Astyanax mexicanus: one gene and its partner. The protein of the gene in region 1 interacts with the protein of each later gene in a pairwise test. Links are inferred from orthologs where the notes say so. Each region holds a gene or a part of one and is shown on either strand. Other genes may lie near its edges.

Evidence for each region.
Region 2: the proteins of zc3h10 (region 1) and nfyal interact in binary tests that used the Homo sapiens proteins (3 or more experiments, as listed by UniProt). The two-hybrid records come from large-scale screens. The link is inferred for Astyanax mexicanus from reciprocal best matches to the Homo sapiens genes ZC3H10 and NFYA.

Annotation. Positions count from the first base shown.
Region 1 is NC_064412.1:44,327,254-44,335,246, reverse strand, and holds the start of zc3h10 (zinc finger CCCH domain-containing protein 10), read right to left. Parts: upstream 3,060-7,993; 5' UTR 2,923-3,059; intron 2,901-2,922; exon of another isoform or gene 2,715-2,900; intron 1-2,714. Other genes in the region: cytochrome c oxidase subunit 6C-1, read right to left, coding at 4,267-4,392, 4,786-4,890. UniProt on the Homo sapiens protein: Specific regulator of miRNA biogenesis. Binds, via the C3H1-type zinc finger domains, to the binding motif 5'-GCAGCGC-3' on microRNA pri-MIR143 and negatively regulates the processing to mature microRNA.
Region 2 is NC_064419.1:41,614,325-41,622,478, forward strand, and holds the start of nfyal (nuclear transcription factor Y, alpha, like), read right to left. Parts: upstream 3,150-8,154; 5' UTR 3,018-3,149; exon of another isoform or gene 2,947-3,017; intron 70-2,946; 5' UTR 48-69; coding exon 1-47. Other genes in the region: ngrn (neugrin), read left to right, coding at 8,028-8,154. UniProt on the Homo sapiens protein: Component of the sequence-specific heterotrimeric transcription factor (NF-Y) which specifically recognizes a 5'-CCAAT-3' box motif found in the promoters of its target genes.

The DNA of each region.
Region 1 (7,993 bases):
CTGCCTCCTGTTCACACTGCTCACAGTGGAGGATCTGCGGTGGAAGTGGTCGACAGTTCCAGGTGCTTGGATGTACACATGAGCAGCAACCTCACCTGAAGCAACAACACTTCCACTCTGGTCAGGAAGGCACATCAGCAGCTCGTCTTTCTCAGGAGGCTGAGACGAGCTGGACTTGGAAGCACACCTCCTTCTACAGATGTGTGGTGGAGAGCGTTGTGTACTCCAGCATCACCGTGTGGTACGGGAGCTGCTCTGCTGCAGACAGGAAAGCTCTACAGAGGGTGGTAAAAGCTGCACAGAAGATTGTTGGAGTCAACCTCCCCAGCACCACAGACATCTACATCTCCAGATGCAGGAAAAGGGCCACCTGTATCAGGAAGGATCCCACCCACCCAGCACACGCTCCCCTCAGGCCGGAGGCTGCGGAGCATCAAGTGCAAAACAACCAGACTCAGAAACAGCTTCATTCCAGAAGCTGTAAGACTCTTAAACTCCACCTAAACAACACACTGCACTTACACTTTACAAGGACAATTACTGTTTACAAACACTGTCACCTTAAACCGCACTGAGACACTTTATCTTGTACTGTTATCTTATCTTGTACTTCCATTATCATGCTGCTATAAGCACACTTGCATTCTGGACTTCATGTTGCTGCTACCTTTTTTTTACCCAACAGGAAAAGAACTTGCAAACATTAAAAAAGAACAATAAAAATATTCTGGGCTTGTTTTAGCCACAATGGATGTGGAGAGAGAGAGCAGTTTTTTTTACAGGATCAATTTTTTTTCCAAGTAATCCTTTATCAACTTGAAGGACAAATAGATTGTCAATCTTTCTGTTGTATAACTATAGTTTTATTGCACGGTAATCTGTTAATATGATTAAAGTAAGCCATGTCACCACAAGACATGATATTTGGTAGATTAAAAATCTGAATAGATCTAGAATATAAATAAAAATTTAAAAAGCTGTACAGCGGAATAGGATTTGCAGTGTATGTATGTCTAAATACACAACAGCATGTTAAAATGAGTTTATACATTTTATTTTATTTAGTAAATCTAAATAATTTTTACTCAGGCATTTAGTACACGATTTTAATCAATTTTCTCCAGATACTGAGTAAATATAAATTATTTTTCTTTAGATACGGAGTAAATATTAATATATTTTCTGAAACAAATTAGTTTGTGTTTAATAGTGTAAATAGAGTTATATTAACTCAAAAATGGCCATGCTATTACTAAATCCAACACATTTTTAACACTGTTTGCATTTTTTACAGTGTGGGCCTTCAGAATATGATGGAGTTGAATATGTAAGCTAAAAGAAGTAGCCATAATTTCATATTTAGCCAAGACAACAAATGGTATTTACTACATTGTAAAACTACACATTTCTACAGTGTTTCTTATTCTTTATTTTCTCCTAAACATATGTTCACTATTATCTATTATAATTTCATATGAATTTAATTTTGTTTATATTGATTAAAAAATCTCTGAACTAAGGTTGGGGGACTTGTGGGACAACTAAACAACAAACAATATTAGTTTGTCCGCTCCGAGGAAGTATGATACAGCACCAGGATATAGTGCACTATTTCTGCAATAGCGAGCGTCAGAGGATATCAATTCAGAGGTCCTTCAAGTTTCTGCTATGGAGAGAGGGAATCCACTTAACATGTATTCGTTCATTGCTCTTCTAGTAATCCACAGTAAACAGACCATACGATGTTTAAAACATCAGCGCCGACATGGACAACAAAACCGAAAATCAACTAAAACTATAATTAAAATTGATTATAGTAGGTCTAAAATGATGACAATCTTTAATAGTAAAATGTGTGTCAGATCCCGAGAGCTCCATCGTGTAGGGCTAAATTACTGAATTAAACATCAAAATAGATTTTCTCCATCCATAAACTGAAACACAAAGATTTGTAGACCAAATTTCCATGTTTACAAAACTTTCTGGGTATTTTCTATTTTTCCAAAGTTTTTCCAGGCTTGGAAATCGCCATTTTCAAGTGTGTGTATGTGTGTTTGTGTTTATATATTTTGTTTTACAAAGTGAAAATAAATAAATATTTTGCTAATCGGTCAAACACTACAATCTACTGGCGTAACATTGGTATTGCAACTTCTTCGGGTGGACTGGAAAAGTCGATGAGGAAAAACAACCTTTCTTTCATTGCCTGCTAGGTATGGGTTAATTCTGGAATTTTGGCATAGAAGTAACGTTTGTTAAAAGGCTTTGAACGTTTGGCGCTTTTCTACACTTTGTTTTATGCACATGGTACTTGCCACTAGTTATAATAATATTATGAATAATACACTACAAGAAAACAGTACAGCTATAATAGAATAAAAAATAGATACACATTTTTAAACCGCTGTTTTTATGGTTTGATTAGCTGTTAACTAATTAACTTGGCTAAAACGTAGCTAGCTAACTGCCAAACCAAAGAACCGGTTAGGTTAACTAGACGGGACAACGATGCTAGCTAGTTTGCTACAGTAGGGCCCCTGAATATAAGTAGGTTAACTAACCTACATAATTAAACGTGAAATATTTATATTTGTAAACGTTACATTTACAATAAGCGCTGTTTTTGCAAGGACTCAATTCCGTATTACTGTTAGCTACAAAGGACCTAGCTAGCCCAACTAATCAAATCAGTGGGTGTAAAACTGGCGACTTACCACACGCGTACACAGCCGCCCACGACGCTGTACAACCACTCTAAATACAAAATCAATCTTCAGAATTCAAATTCTGAGGGAAAGCACAAACTAGCTGGCTATCCATGTATACATTCTCGAGGTCGACGCGCGTTAAAGTTGATACTTCCGTTTGCATACAAAAAAAGCCTAAAGCAAACTTCTCCGATTTCCAGCTCATCTATCTTACCTTTTCATGTAATATGTAGAACGTAGTTTCCACACGCAGCTGTTAGAAGCAAGCCACACTTCCGCAGATCTACAAAAAACACTATACCTTTACGGAGCAATTTGCAACAAGGACCCCGGGTGGGTGGACAAACGGAAGGGGGGGGGGGGGGGGGTGGTGTGTCACTTCAAGTTAAAAGTCATATTTAAAGTGGAAATCCTGCAGTTGTTGTGATAGGAAACATGTGTCACAACAAAGAGAACAATTTTAAATACTCTTCAAACCCACTATTGAGTTTTTAACATGTCTTCTAACAGACCTCCTAACTCTTAGCATTATTTGTGTCATACAGTGACCTGCATAAATTCATGAATTTTTAGACCCCTTCAAGACCTAAAATAAATATCTATATATCAGATCCACAACTATTTAGTGCAATAATTTAAATGAGCTTTAAGAGGTCTTAGACTTTTCATATATTATTCACCACTAAACAATTCTGATTCATTAAGTTTCTTTTAAATATAAAACACTACTGACATCTACTGATTCAGACTACATCCCTAACATTAAATGAATGCTTTAAAAAAAATAATAATAATAATAATAAAAAAACAACGCACACACACTCGCCCTTTAAACAGTCTCTTAAATCATATCATATTTGGTACAAATGCCACAGCATACTGAAAGAGTTGAAGTGCTCCACAAGAGCCTAGCAACCCCCTGGCATATGTTAGCATCTACACTTCAGTTTAATATTCAAGAACGAAAAATAATTTATCGTTATGGAACAGCATTGTGAAATAGCAGTAAATTCTCAACGAAGTACTACTGACTACAGTGGTTAAATTATCCTAATGACTAACTAACCACACAGAGTTTAAAAAAAAAGACAAGGAGTGTACATGTTTAGAAGTTTATTTGTAACGTTATGAGAACATCAGATATGTTCACATCCAATATGCAAGGTACATGAAAACAGCAGGCCATGAATGCAGATGTAGAGATCTCCTGTAGACAGAGAAAAAAAAAAAGAGCACAAAAATAAAATTACTGTGTGTAACCAGTAGCGGTAACCTCGTAGTCTGGAATTTTATGGAAAGGCTTTGAAAATGGTGTACAATTATCTGAATGTTTAATTGGAATGAGTCACCTGGGGTGTAAAGTCATCCCCAGAAGACACTCAAGGTAAACTTAACATATAGCCCCCACCACCCCCCGCTCTTTTAATTAGCTACCCAATATTAATTGTTAATAATTAACTTGATTGGTAACCTGCTGAATAGGCAATATATGCAACTGTTTTTGTGATATCACAAAACAAATTTCAAAAACCCTGTTCAAAAGAGCTGGACACTCACCTTATTCACCTGTAGGCCTCACACTTTCAAAAACACCAGCTTCTCTCATGGCACTGAACTCCTTCATGGCATCATAGTTCTTGTAGAAGTCAGCATAAGCCTGCTTCCGGGGTTCTGTTACTGTGTACTACATTAGAATAAGAAAACAATTATTTGGACAAGCTGGGCTCAGTTGCATACAACACCTTAAGTTTACCTTAAGAGTAAACATAACAGAAGAATTCCCTTACTCAAGTGAATTAGGTTTGTTGCATACATTTTCTCAGATATATCACTTAACAAAAAAAAAAAAAATAATAATAAAAATACTTAAGGGATTATTTAAAGGAAATTCAACACTTAAGGGAACAGTAATGACTTTATGAATATTCCATTAAGACAGCCCTAAAGTAACACGAAAGTAATTTTTTCCCAAATCACACTCATATTTAGGCAGTGTTTCAGGACCGCAATAAGGGTAAAAATTCACAACTGGGTCTCACAAACGGTTAGACCAAACTATCAGGACTACATAACTGACCTTAAATGAAACTGCTGCCAATAGGGACAGAGTAAAAGCAATAGGCAAGTGAAACCTCAACCTCTTGCCAAGGAGACCCCTCATCACAGGCTTTGGAAGAGACATGGTGAAATACCTGGAGAGACATATTTTAAAATACAGCTCTTAAGACAGGCAGGAGTTTAACAACTTATATATATATATAAAATTGGAATATGAATGTGAAAGGAATTGTACATTTTATGGACTACGTGCAGTTCTAGACACTTCTGAAAAGGGGTTGGATAACGTCAATATAAAAAACTAAATAAGCAAAAACTATAAAAAACTGACTCATTATTGTCCGAACCATCTTAAATGCAGTGGAACAGCCAACAACTGTCGAAAAGGTCAACTATATGCTCCAGTTCTACATAAGACTTCTGATGTTAATATAATAACCACTAAATGCGTATTTTAAAATGTAAATATGACCGAGTTGTTGAAACGCTACCAGAAGCTAGGTTAGCTAAGCTAGGCTGTTAACAGAATGGACATTAGCATTAGGGAGCTCTGCTGCTCACGCTGAAGAGAGAATGCACTCAGAACTGGCTTATAACGAAAAGTTATATTTACCTTAAAAAATGAAGAACACAGTGATAAAGAACAGTTCACTCTGAGCTAGAGAAGGGAAAGGAGTTCTAACCTCAGCTTCTGTCTTCACGACCTTCAGTGGAACGACCGTCACAACCTGATTTCAACCGGAAACCTGACTTCTTCTTCTTCTTCTTCTTCTTCTTCTTTCAGGTTTATGGCGGATGGCAGACCAACTGAAGGTGCATTACCGCCACCTACTGAGCAGGAGTATGAAGTGTGATTTCGGGAAGTGACATGGCCAATAATAAACAAAATGTAGGTGAAAGGAAATTCATAAATAAGTACATAAAAATAAAAGAAAGTAAACGAGAGAGAGAAAAAAAAAACTAAATAAAGTAAAATATACCAATAGCTTTCAAATATTGAAAAACCAGTTTGTGAACCGAACCCATCCCTGCCCCATAAGAAAGCAATCCTGTCAAAGAAAAGTCTTTGTGACCCTTGTCTTTAAGAGAAGAAAACAAAATTTTCCTTTGTACAGCATATTTATTGCAACAAAAAGAACATGGTCCACGGTTTCCCTCTGCGGACAGTGGCGACAAAGCCCTGTGGAGTGTTTCTGTATTATTTGCAAAGAGGCTTTCAGCATACTGTGACCTACTCGGAGCCTTGTTAGTACAATTTCCTGCCTCCGACAGTACCCTCCACTCCCACCCAAACCAACTCTCGGTTGTATTGCAAACAAATGCCTCCCCTTCGGTTCATGTTCTAACATGTTGTTTTACAACCACTCTTGCCTCAGCTTTGCTAAGAGGGATATCAAGGTCACATCTATTTTTCTTCAGGCATTGTTTAGCAGCTTTGTCAGCAGTCTCATTACCGTCCACCCCTACATGTGCTGGAACCCATAAAAACTGAACTAAAATAGTCTGCATGTGTAAACGAAATAATGCCTGAGATATTTTTAAAATTAGGTCTTGTCTACATTTAGATTTGCCAGACTGGATGCTTTGTAAAGCAGACAAAGAATCTGAACAAATCACCATCCTCATTGGGCAAACATCCTCAGCCCACTGCAATGCTAAAAGAATGGCGACAAGCTCGGAGGAAAATACAGATAGGTTATCAGACAGTCGCCTACTAATAACCACATGAAATTCTGGTACAAAGACCGCTGCTGATGTGGAACCCACAGTAGGATCCTTTGACCCATCAGTATACACCTGCAGAGTACCATAATAATTAAGTGCCAGATGTTGTTCTACCATAACAGCTGCACTTCCTGCATCACTCCATTTTTTATTAAGGAGGGAAAAATAAACACTAGGCAATGGGAACATCCAAGGAGTTGCTCAGACACCCAAAACTCCTTGAGGAACCATGAAGAGGAGCACTGCAATCATGTAAAACAGACACAGCTGGATGGCTCTCTATGTGCCCCTTCAGGTTGGACCAATATACTGTAGACAATGCAAGTCTTCTAAAATGCAAAGGCATTTCTCCTGTTTCAACCTGTAGAGAAGCCACTGGGGAGGATCTAACTGCACCACAACACAATCTCAGTGCTTGTGCTTGTATTACATCAAGTAATTTTAGGTTTGACTCAGCAGCTGATCTATAGGCCATGCAGCCATAGTCAAAAACCGATCTAATTAGAGCATCATAAATGCACTGGAGAGAGGAACGGTCAGCCCCCCAGTCAGTTCCTGCCAAGCATTTAAGGACATTTAATCCATTTTTGCATTTATCTATGATCTTCATAATGTGATGCTTCCAGGACAATTTCGAGTCCATCCACAGACCAAGAAACCTGACTACCTTCACCTGTTCAAGAGTCTGACCATACAGTTTAAGCCCAAGTTCATTTTTTTGATCTCTTAGAAAAATAGATGATCTGGGATTTAGCCACAGATAACTTGAATTCATTTGCCCAGTGTTCAACCCCAACAATTGCCTCCTGCATCTTTCGCTTAACAGAAGATAGATTCCTCCCTCTCTTCCACAGAGCCCCATCATCTGCATACAAAGATGCTACGTCAGGACTAACCCCAGAAAAGATGTCATTGATCATAATGTTAAATAAAATAGGGCTACATACACTGCCTTGCGGAGTCCCATTTTCAATAGAATACACTTTAGAACAAGAAGTACCCACCCTGACCTGTATGGACCTATTCATTAAAAAATCCATTACCCAGTTGTACATCCTCCCTCCGATTCCGAGCACAGACAGCTTAATTAGCAGACCTTCTTGCCACAGCATATCATAAGCCTTTTCAATATCAAAAAATACAGCAACAACCACTTCTTTATGAAGCTGTACCCTCCTGATATCTGCTTCTAAACCTAGGATTGAGTCCATCGTCATTCTGCCCCTACAAAAACCAGTCTGATAAGGAGAAAAGGTATTCTGACGCTCGAGAAAGTAGGACAACCTTTCTGTTATCATGCGTTCCATAAGCTTACTTAAATGTGAAGTTAAAGTATTAGGCCTATAACCAGCTGTATCAGACAAGTCCTTTCCTGGCTTTCCTGCTGGTACCACTATGGCCAGTTTCCAAGCTGACGGAAGCTGCCCTGCCCAACTACTTCATTATAAAAGTCCAAAATTATACTAAGAGATTTGTCTTTGAGATGTTTAAACATATCATAA
Region 2 (8,154 bases), on another chromosome or scaffold:
TGGACTACTATCTGCTCCCCACCTGTCGTGGAGTTGTACTGCTCCATTTTACTCCCAAATTTTACCAGCCTAGAGAGAGAACGCATTTTTTTTTTTTTTTTTTTAGCATATATCCATTATAACTAAATAATAGATGTAAATATGTATATTATATCAATAAAACGGCAATAAACGAGTACAAATGCAATTTGAGAGCTGTATTTTTTTTATCAGGGGTGACCAATCTTATCTGGAAATGGCTGGTCTATGACCAGCTTTCAGCCCAAAATGACTTCAAATGACATCACATTCTAACTAGTTTAGCTAAGCTTTTACTAGGGATGCACAATGACATCAGAATTACATCAGTATTTTACAGGAGAAACCTTTCATTATATTGTTTGTATGGAGTTTGAAAGATTGAAAGCTAAAATGCAAGGTATATAATTGTTTCATTTATTATATAAGAAGTTATACTGGGGTGTCTAGTCTCTTTGTGAGTGTAAAATGTGTATATCAGTTTAGGAAGATATGTAAGTATGTAATATTAGATATTGGCATTAGCCCAGAATTCCTACATCAGTGCATCCCTACCTTTTAGTGGTAAAATGTGCATTGCATGAATTGGCAAATTTATTTTTCAGATGCTAATTAGAAAATTAACCCCACAAATGACTAGTCAAAATCACATTAAAAGATAATCACATTAATCAGAATGGCTTTGTTAATCTGTAGTAGGGGTGTGTCATAGCATATCATACACAATACATCGTGCTAGTAACATTGTGACTTTAAGAAATATCCACAGTAGGGTAACAGAAGCGTTCTGCTTTGAAAACAGTCTATTGTTTACTGTGAGTCTTTATGGGTATGCTGCATAACATACACAATATATCATGACACAGTAATATTGTGACTTAATAAATATAGTGGGAACAAGATCTTAATGCATGCCCACAACTTAAGGCATGGGAACAAGAATTAAGTCATGGGGACTTATGGGCTTCATAAAAAATTAAGTTTTCATTAGTAAAACGTTTTACATGAGACCTATAAAGTAAAAACTGAATTGGGACTTGTAGCTACCACTGTTGAATGAAGCTGCAAGAGCTCAATAAACTGGCAGCAAATCAATTATAACAAATTATAAAATGTACTTTACCAGGTAAAATGTTAAAGTTTAGCCAGCTATCCTACCCTAGTTTGTTTGTTTGCAAGTCCATGATTCTCACAAACACTGAGGCTCTGTTTGGGCTCGCAAATAATATAACTACAACATTCTGCAAAATAGGACCTTGTATAGTATAGTACTTCTTGAGAACAATATTGCAAGAGCATCCCGATTGCTCGATCTTTGTGCTCAGTATACTTAGCAGTAGGGGTGTGCCATATCGTATCGTACGTGATAATATCGCCAAAAATGTTGAATATCGTGAACGATATTATACCCTGAAATATTGTGCCATATCACCTACACCTTATTAGCACATCAAAGTACCACTTTTTTGTTGTTTTTAGCTAAATAAAAATTCACATTCATTTCTCATTTCCCATTATATATCTACTAGAGCCAGATTATATCTGTCTAGTATAGGGGTGGGCGATATGGCTCTAAAATAATATCACGATATTTCAGGGTATTTTTGCGATAACGATATACTTGGCGATATAGGAAAACAGAAAAATAATTAATTAATTTCAGAAATATAGTATAATAGTATAACAGCATAATCATAATGTGGCAAAATAAATAACATAGCATAAAATAATATAATGCAGCAAATAATATTGCAGAATATTTAGTGCATGCATATAAACTACAAACTAAAACAATTATACAATAAATAAACCTAAAGCTTCACAGTAAATAGACTACTTTTAAGACAGAACATCTCTATTATCACAATATGGATTTTTAATATCACGATATTTCTGTGTCACGATATATTGTATACGATATAATATTGCCCACCCCTACTGCTAAGTCTAGTGAGCACAAAGACAGACCAATTAGGATGCTCTTGCTTTATTGTTCCCAAAAGGACCTGGTATAAAATGTCATAATTTGCAGGATCTTTTAGCTATATGATTTGTGAGCCTCACTGAGCAACTGTTTTTTTAGTATTTGTGATAATCATTGAATTCACAGGAGAGGTGGGACGCCTGCTATCATTTTAATATAGAGCCTCTGGAGGGATTCAGACTTACAGAATAACACAAACATGATATAACCTTAAAACACAGCTTGTAATTAGGATAGCTAGCTGGCTAACCTTAACATTTACCTTACCTTTTAAAGGTAACTTAGCTAGCAGTATTCTCAATAGGTAAAACCATTTCTTTCATAGTGCTTGGTTTCAGTTTAGATTTGCAGCTCAATTTCAGAGTTCAAAAACAAGCTAGGGTTAGATATGAACAAATTATAAAAGGTAACGTTTTTTAATTACATTTAAAGGTAAAGTACATGTTAAGGTCAGGCAGTTAACTAACCTATCTAAGTTATTTGTTAGCTGTGCTCTGAGGTTAGGTCATGTTTATGTTAGCTAGAGTTAGCTTAGCTAGCTAAACAGGCTGTTGTTTTTGAAGCTACTTGAGCTAACCATGCTAATTTCAGACAGCACACTAAACAGGTCCGTTAGCTGGGTGAAGTGAGAGATTTTTTGTAGTTTTTGTATCTTATTTTTTATATTTTTCCCTCTCAGACCGACTGAATATCTAGTTAAGCTAGGTTAGCTAATAACGCGCAGGGGCGCACTCGCCCCCCGGCCCGCCGCAGTAAGCGGGCTGCAGCCCGGGCTAGACAGGCAGGCAGCTCGCCAGGCTAAGCTAGGCTAGCTAAGCTCCTTTGTCTGCGGGCTGCTGGAGCTCCAGCGCTAAACCCTCCATTTTAGCCGCGTTAGTGTCTCCGAGCCGCCGGCCGCCCTGCTCTCGCAGCGCCGGGCTGATCTCAGTATTTAGCACATTTACTCATTTGGTTGGTCACTGATAAACCAATCCCCGCTGTCAGCTCCGCCGCCCGGGAGCCGCGCGCTCTTTACCGTGTCTCTGTTGTCCGGTGTCCCTCTGATTGGCTCCAGTACGGCGCGCAGAAACCCAATCACCACCGCTCTCCCACAAAATGGCGCAAATGAGGCGCGCGGGGGGCAGGAGCTTCAAGGAGGGAGGAGGAGGAGGCGGCGCGCGCAGGCACGCAGAGGTGACGCGCATGGGAGGGGGGCGCGTGCGCAGCGGGAGCGCGCATTAAGTGTGGGAAATGAGAGATGGGGCTTAATAACAATTGAAATACTTAATAACGTTACTATTTTGGCTACGTATTAGGGTGATTCTCACGAAATCAGACTAATGAGGTGGCATTAAGGAGTGTGATGAACAGGTAAATGCTATCAATTTGGGAAACACTGGTTTATAAACATCTCATCAAAGGCTATATTGGAAGTGATTAAAAGTAGACATTGTGATATTTTAAATTATGTATTTTTTATAATTTAGTGTGAAATTCTCAGTACCGCAACGCGTCCATTGCTGAATCTCGGCTCTTCAATTACACAATTTTAATATTTAAAATAAATAAATAATAAAAAACTTAAATGTATCTCATAAAGTAAATTGTTACAGTCAATAAAAATGTATTACTTGGAATTCATTGGTAAAAGAAAAGAAAATATTTAGAAAAATAACTTTGGTCAGAACCAATGTTCTCAGCCTCCGCAACAATTTTCAAGCACCATTTAAGACCACAAGGAACAGAAAAAAAAACAGCCATTTTGAGAGGGGGGACACCTTTTAGTATGACACCCAAGATGGCTACCAGGTAAGCACCTAATTTTATACCTCTCCAGATAAATGTTAAAAACTTGGTTGTCAGCGAGCATACACAACTTTTTGTTTCTCATTACCGAAACAGCTAGTTTTTAATGTTTAAAAAAATGAAAATGTTATTGTGTTTTGGGAATTTTTAAGGTTTTTAAAGTCTAAATACAAAAAGCTAGCAAAAGTTTAGCCAGGCATCATGGTGGCCCCACAGAGATCAAAGAAGGTTAAGGTCCCTCATACTCCGCAACAGCCTTCTCATACACCGCAACAATTTAAGGCCTGTTGCGGTAGAGAGATTCACTGTTGCGGTAAAGAGAAATTAATGTTTTAAGTGACATGAACTTATATATATATATATATATATATATATATATTGTTTCATAAAAAAGCCTTTATTTACTTATAATAAACAATATATAAAACAATACATGATGCAATTTCAGATAAAAAACAGATTTATGTAGCAGGGCAGTGACACCCATATAACTTCCGCATAAGATATAAAAAATAATATATAAAAATAATATATATATATATATATATATATATATATATATATATATATATATATATATATATATATATAATATATAATTTTCATATATATAATATATACATTTCATGAAACAACTTTTATTGTTATAAACTGTTAATAAAGGTTGTTTCATGAAATTTATTTTTATAAACTTTTATTGTTATAAACTGTTTATATGTATATATATATATATATATATATATATATATATATATATATATATATATATATATATATATATACACATTTTATGAAACAACCTTTATTAACAGTTTATAACAATAAAAGTTGTTTCATGAAATGTATATATTATATATATGAAAATTATATATATACACACATATATACATTTCATTAAACAACTTTCTTTAATTTTATCTTTAATTTTAATTTAGTTGCACATTGATGTTTACATTTTTCATGAGATTAATGCTTAATACAAAGATGTTTAATGAGATGTTGAATTGCTTGTTTCATACTTAAATATTTAATTTCAATTTAGTTGTACATTGATGTTTATATCTGTCATGAAATTAATACTTAATAAAAAAGTTGTTTTATGAGATGTTGAATTACTTATTTTGTATTTAAACATTCCATTTCAATTTAGTTATACAGTGATGTTTAAAGTTTTAAGGAATTTATGTCTAATGAGGTATGTTGAAATTTGTTTTATTAAAATACACAGTTCAAAATAGGATATTTTCACAGCTTGAGTCTTACTGAGATTAATTTTCAACAGCAAATACCACATTTTGTTCAATATTACTACTCCATACAAAACTCAAGAAGTACATCATTAGAATTTGTTATTTATTCACAGCATTCACACTCTGTGTTTGTTGTGTAAAGTGTTATTGTTAATTAAGTAGGAATCCTTGTAATGACTCTCTTTACCGAAACATTGACTCTCTTTACCGAAACACCATTCTCTTTACCGCAACACATATTTATTTACTAATTATTTTACTGTTATAAAACAAATTCTAGTTTATAATGGTATTTGGATAAATTGTATTTCTTCATAGGTCATCTGTACTAAATAAGAAATTATACATGTAATTTTTCAGTTAAATATCCTGAAAAGACAGGACATGAATCATGAAATCTGTTGCGGTAATGAGACAAATCATAAAATAAAAAAAAATGGGAAACTTATAAATATAATATTTTCTGGGTTATATACACATATGAGCACAACTGTTAATAATATCTATTTAAAAAGTAACAAATGTGTAACTTTTAAACCATATCTGTTCTGTGTTATCATGTTGCGGTACTGAGAATGTGTGTGCTCTGACTGACTAAAATGGTGCAAAATATACAGAAAAAAATTATAAAATTAAAAAAAAAAAGTATTTCTAAAAAGTTCAGACCCTAGTCTTGCATAACAAAAAGAAATTTTATATTTAAATGCCTTTTGAAATTTTTCAAGTGTGAACCCTTTTAAATCTGTTTTTCGTGAGAATCACCCATTATATATAAATGTAGATTCTTTAAAAACACTCCAAACTGTTTAGTGTTTAAAATAATTTGGCTCTTGTAGCGAATATATGTATTCTTACAGCAGATTCTATCTAATTTACTTTTTATGTCTAATGTAATTTAATTTATTTGTTCTAAATGATAATTCAGATTGACAGACTCTGGTCTCTTGATTTTCAAATAAAATGCAAAAATAGACTGATATTCAGTGATAATTTGGAGAGCCATGTAATCTGCTGGTGTTGATCCACTGTGTTATATCAAGTCAGTACAAAAGTCAGTGCAGTTTTGTTTTCCCGCAAAATCTTACAGCACTTAATGCTTCCCTCTGCTGAAAAATTTTATGGCGATGTGGATTTCATTTTTCAGCAGGACTTGGCACACTGCCCATACTACCAGAAGTACCAATTGGTATGTTTGTCAAAATTCTAATTTTCGGAGAAACTGATTTTTGGATTTACACTGGCTGTAAGCCGTAATCATCAAAATAAAATAAATTAATGATAAAAAATAGATCATTCTGCGAGTAATAATTCTATATAATATATGAGTTTCACATTTTGAACTGAATTACAGAAATAAAGCAACTTTTCAATGATATTCTAATTTTTTTTTAGATTCACTAGTAATTTCAGTTGACGATCCAAAAATCCTGCTTCACATTCCAGATCAGCAGGGGGCGGTAATGAACCTGTAAGTAATGTATAGGTCTGCCTAAAGAAGAAGAAGAAGACTTCAGTGCGGTTGCTGAGCTGCGGGTTTTTGGAGTTAGATACAAGATTTTATCGAGTTATAATAACTTATCTCTCAGTATAGAGCGCGGGCTCAGGACAGGTAACGCCCTTTATTTTTAACACCTTATTTAGAGCTGATAATTCAGTCTACAGCGGGTTATCTTGCGGTGGTGAGCCGTGTGAAGAGGCTGAGCATGGCTTTTTCAATTAAATGACCCGGTCCACCTTAAACAGCGCAGCACTAACTTAACTGACAGATACTGAGCTATTTACAGTAACAGTGGCTCCTTTTTAAGGTGGTACGAGGAATTACAAAAATTAAGAAATAACCAAGCCATATTTATACTTTAATTATATTCGTACAACAGTATTACTGGATATTTTAAATATATGACCAAATAAGATACCTTGTCTACCTTAATAATAAAAATTATACAGCTCTTGAAAAAATTAGAAAGCACTTAAAATTATGTGTTTCTTTCTTACAACCAAAAGGAAGATGGATGATCACAAGCCGTCAAACCAAATTGAACTGCTTGAATTTTTGCACCAGGAGTGGCATAAAATTATCCAAAAGCAGTGTGTAAGACTGGTGAAGGAGAACGTGCCAAGATGCATGAAAGCTGTGATTACAAACCAGGGTTATTTCACCAAATATTGATTTCTGAACTCTGCATTTTTTTTTGCTATTTCGACAATATGACAATATTTTATTGGGAATTTAGGAGAAATATTCATACTTTGTTAGATGTTCAGTATTTCAGAGTAATGCCAATGAGGGAGAGAGTCTGATTTAAGAGTTTAGTCTTCTAGTCTTTTATAATAGTGTTTAGATAATAGAGCTGCACGGTACTGAAAAACACTGACATTGTGATTAGGGGTGTGCCATATCGTATCGTATGCAGTAATATTGACTAAAATTCTATACGATAAAGAAATCCATATTGTGATATCACAATATTCTTAAAATGATTCTATTTTGTATTTATTTGGTTATTTACTGTGTTTATTTTTAATGTCTGCATTGTTTATATACAGCACTAAACATTCTACACTTTATTTTTGTGGTAGATTTTTGTTGTTACATTACTTTTACATAATTGTTTGTTATATGTTGTATTTTGTTACATAATTATTTTATACAAACATTTTTTATTTCATCTGAATGTATGTAACTCATGATTATAATTGAGTTGAGTTAATGTTTATTTATTGTACAAGTCGATTAATGTACTTATCGTAACCGGCTTAAATAGAACTTGTATATGTATTACTGTTTTGTTGCAATAGTATATTCCTGAAAATTAGCATAGCCACCTTTTAAAGACCAGCTTGGACTGTCTGAAACCAGCTACCAGCTATATCTAGTCTTGAGTTGGATTTTTCAGCAGGCGTGTAATAATAATAATAATATTATTTATTTTTAATAAATTAGGTCACCATCACATTCAGTACAAGGACACTCTTGTCCACTGGTCAGCATGCTCAGCTCTTTGAGGCTGGTCCGCTGGATGAAGCTCGCTGCTTTTCCAGGACCTGGAATTGCACCAGTTCAATGCCACGCCAGCCATGATGCCCGCATGTGGATGAACTCTGCTGGGAGGCTGT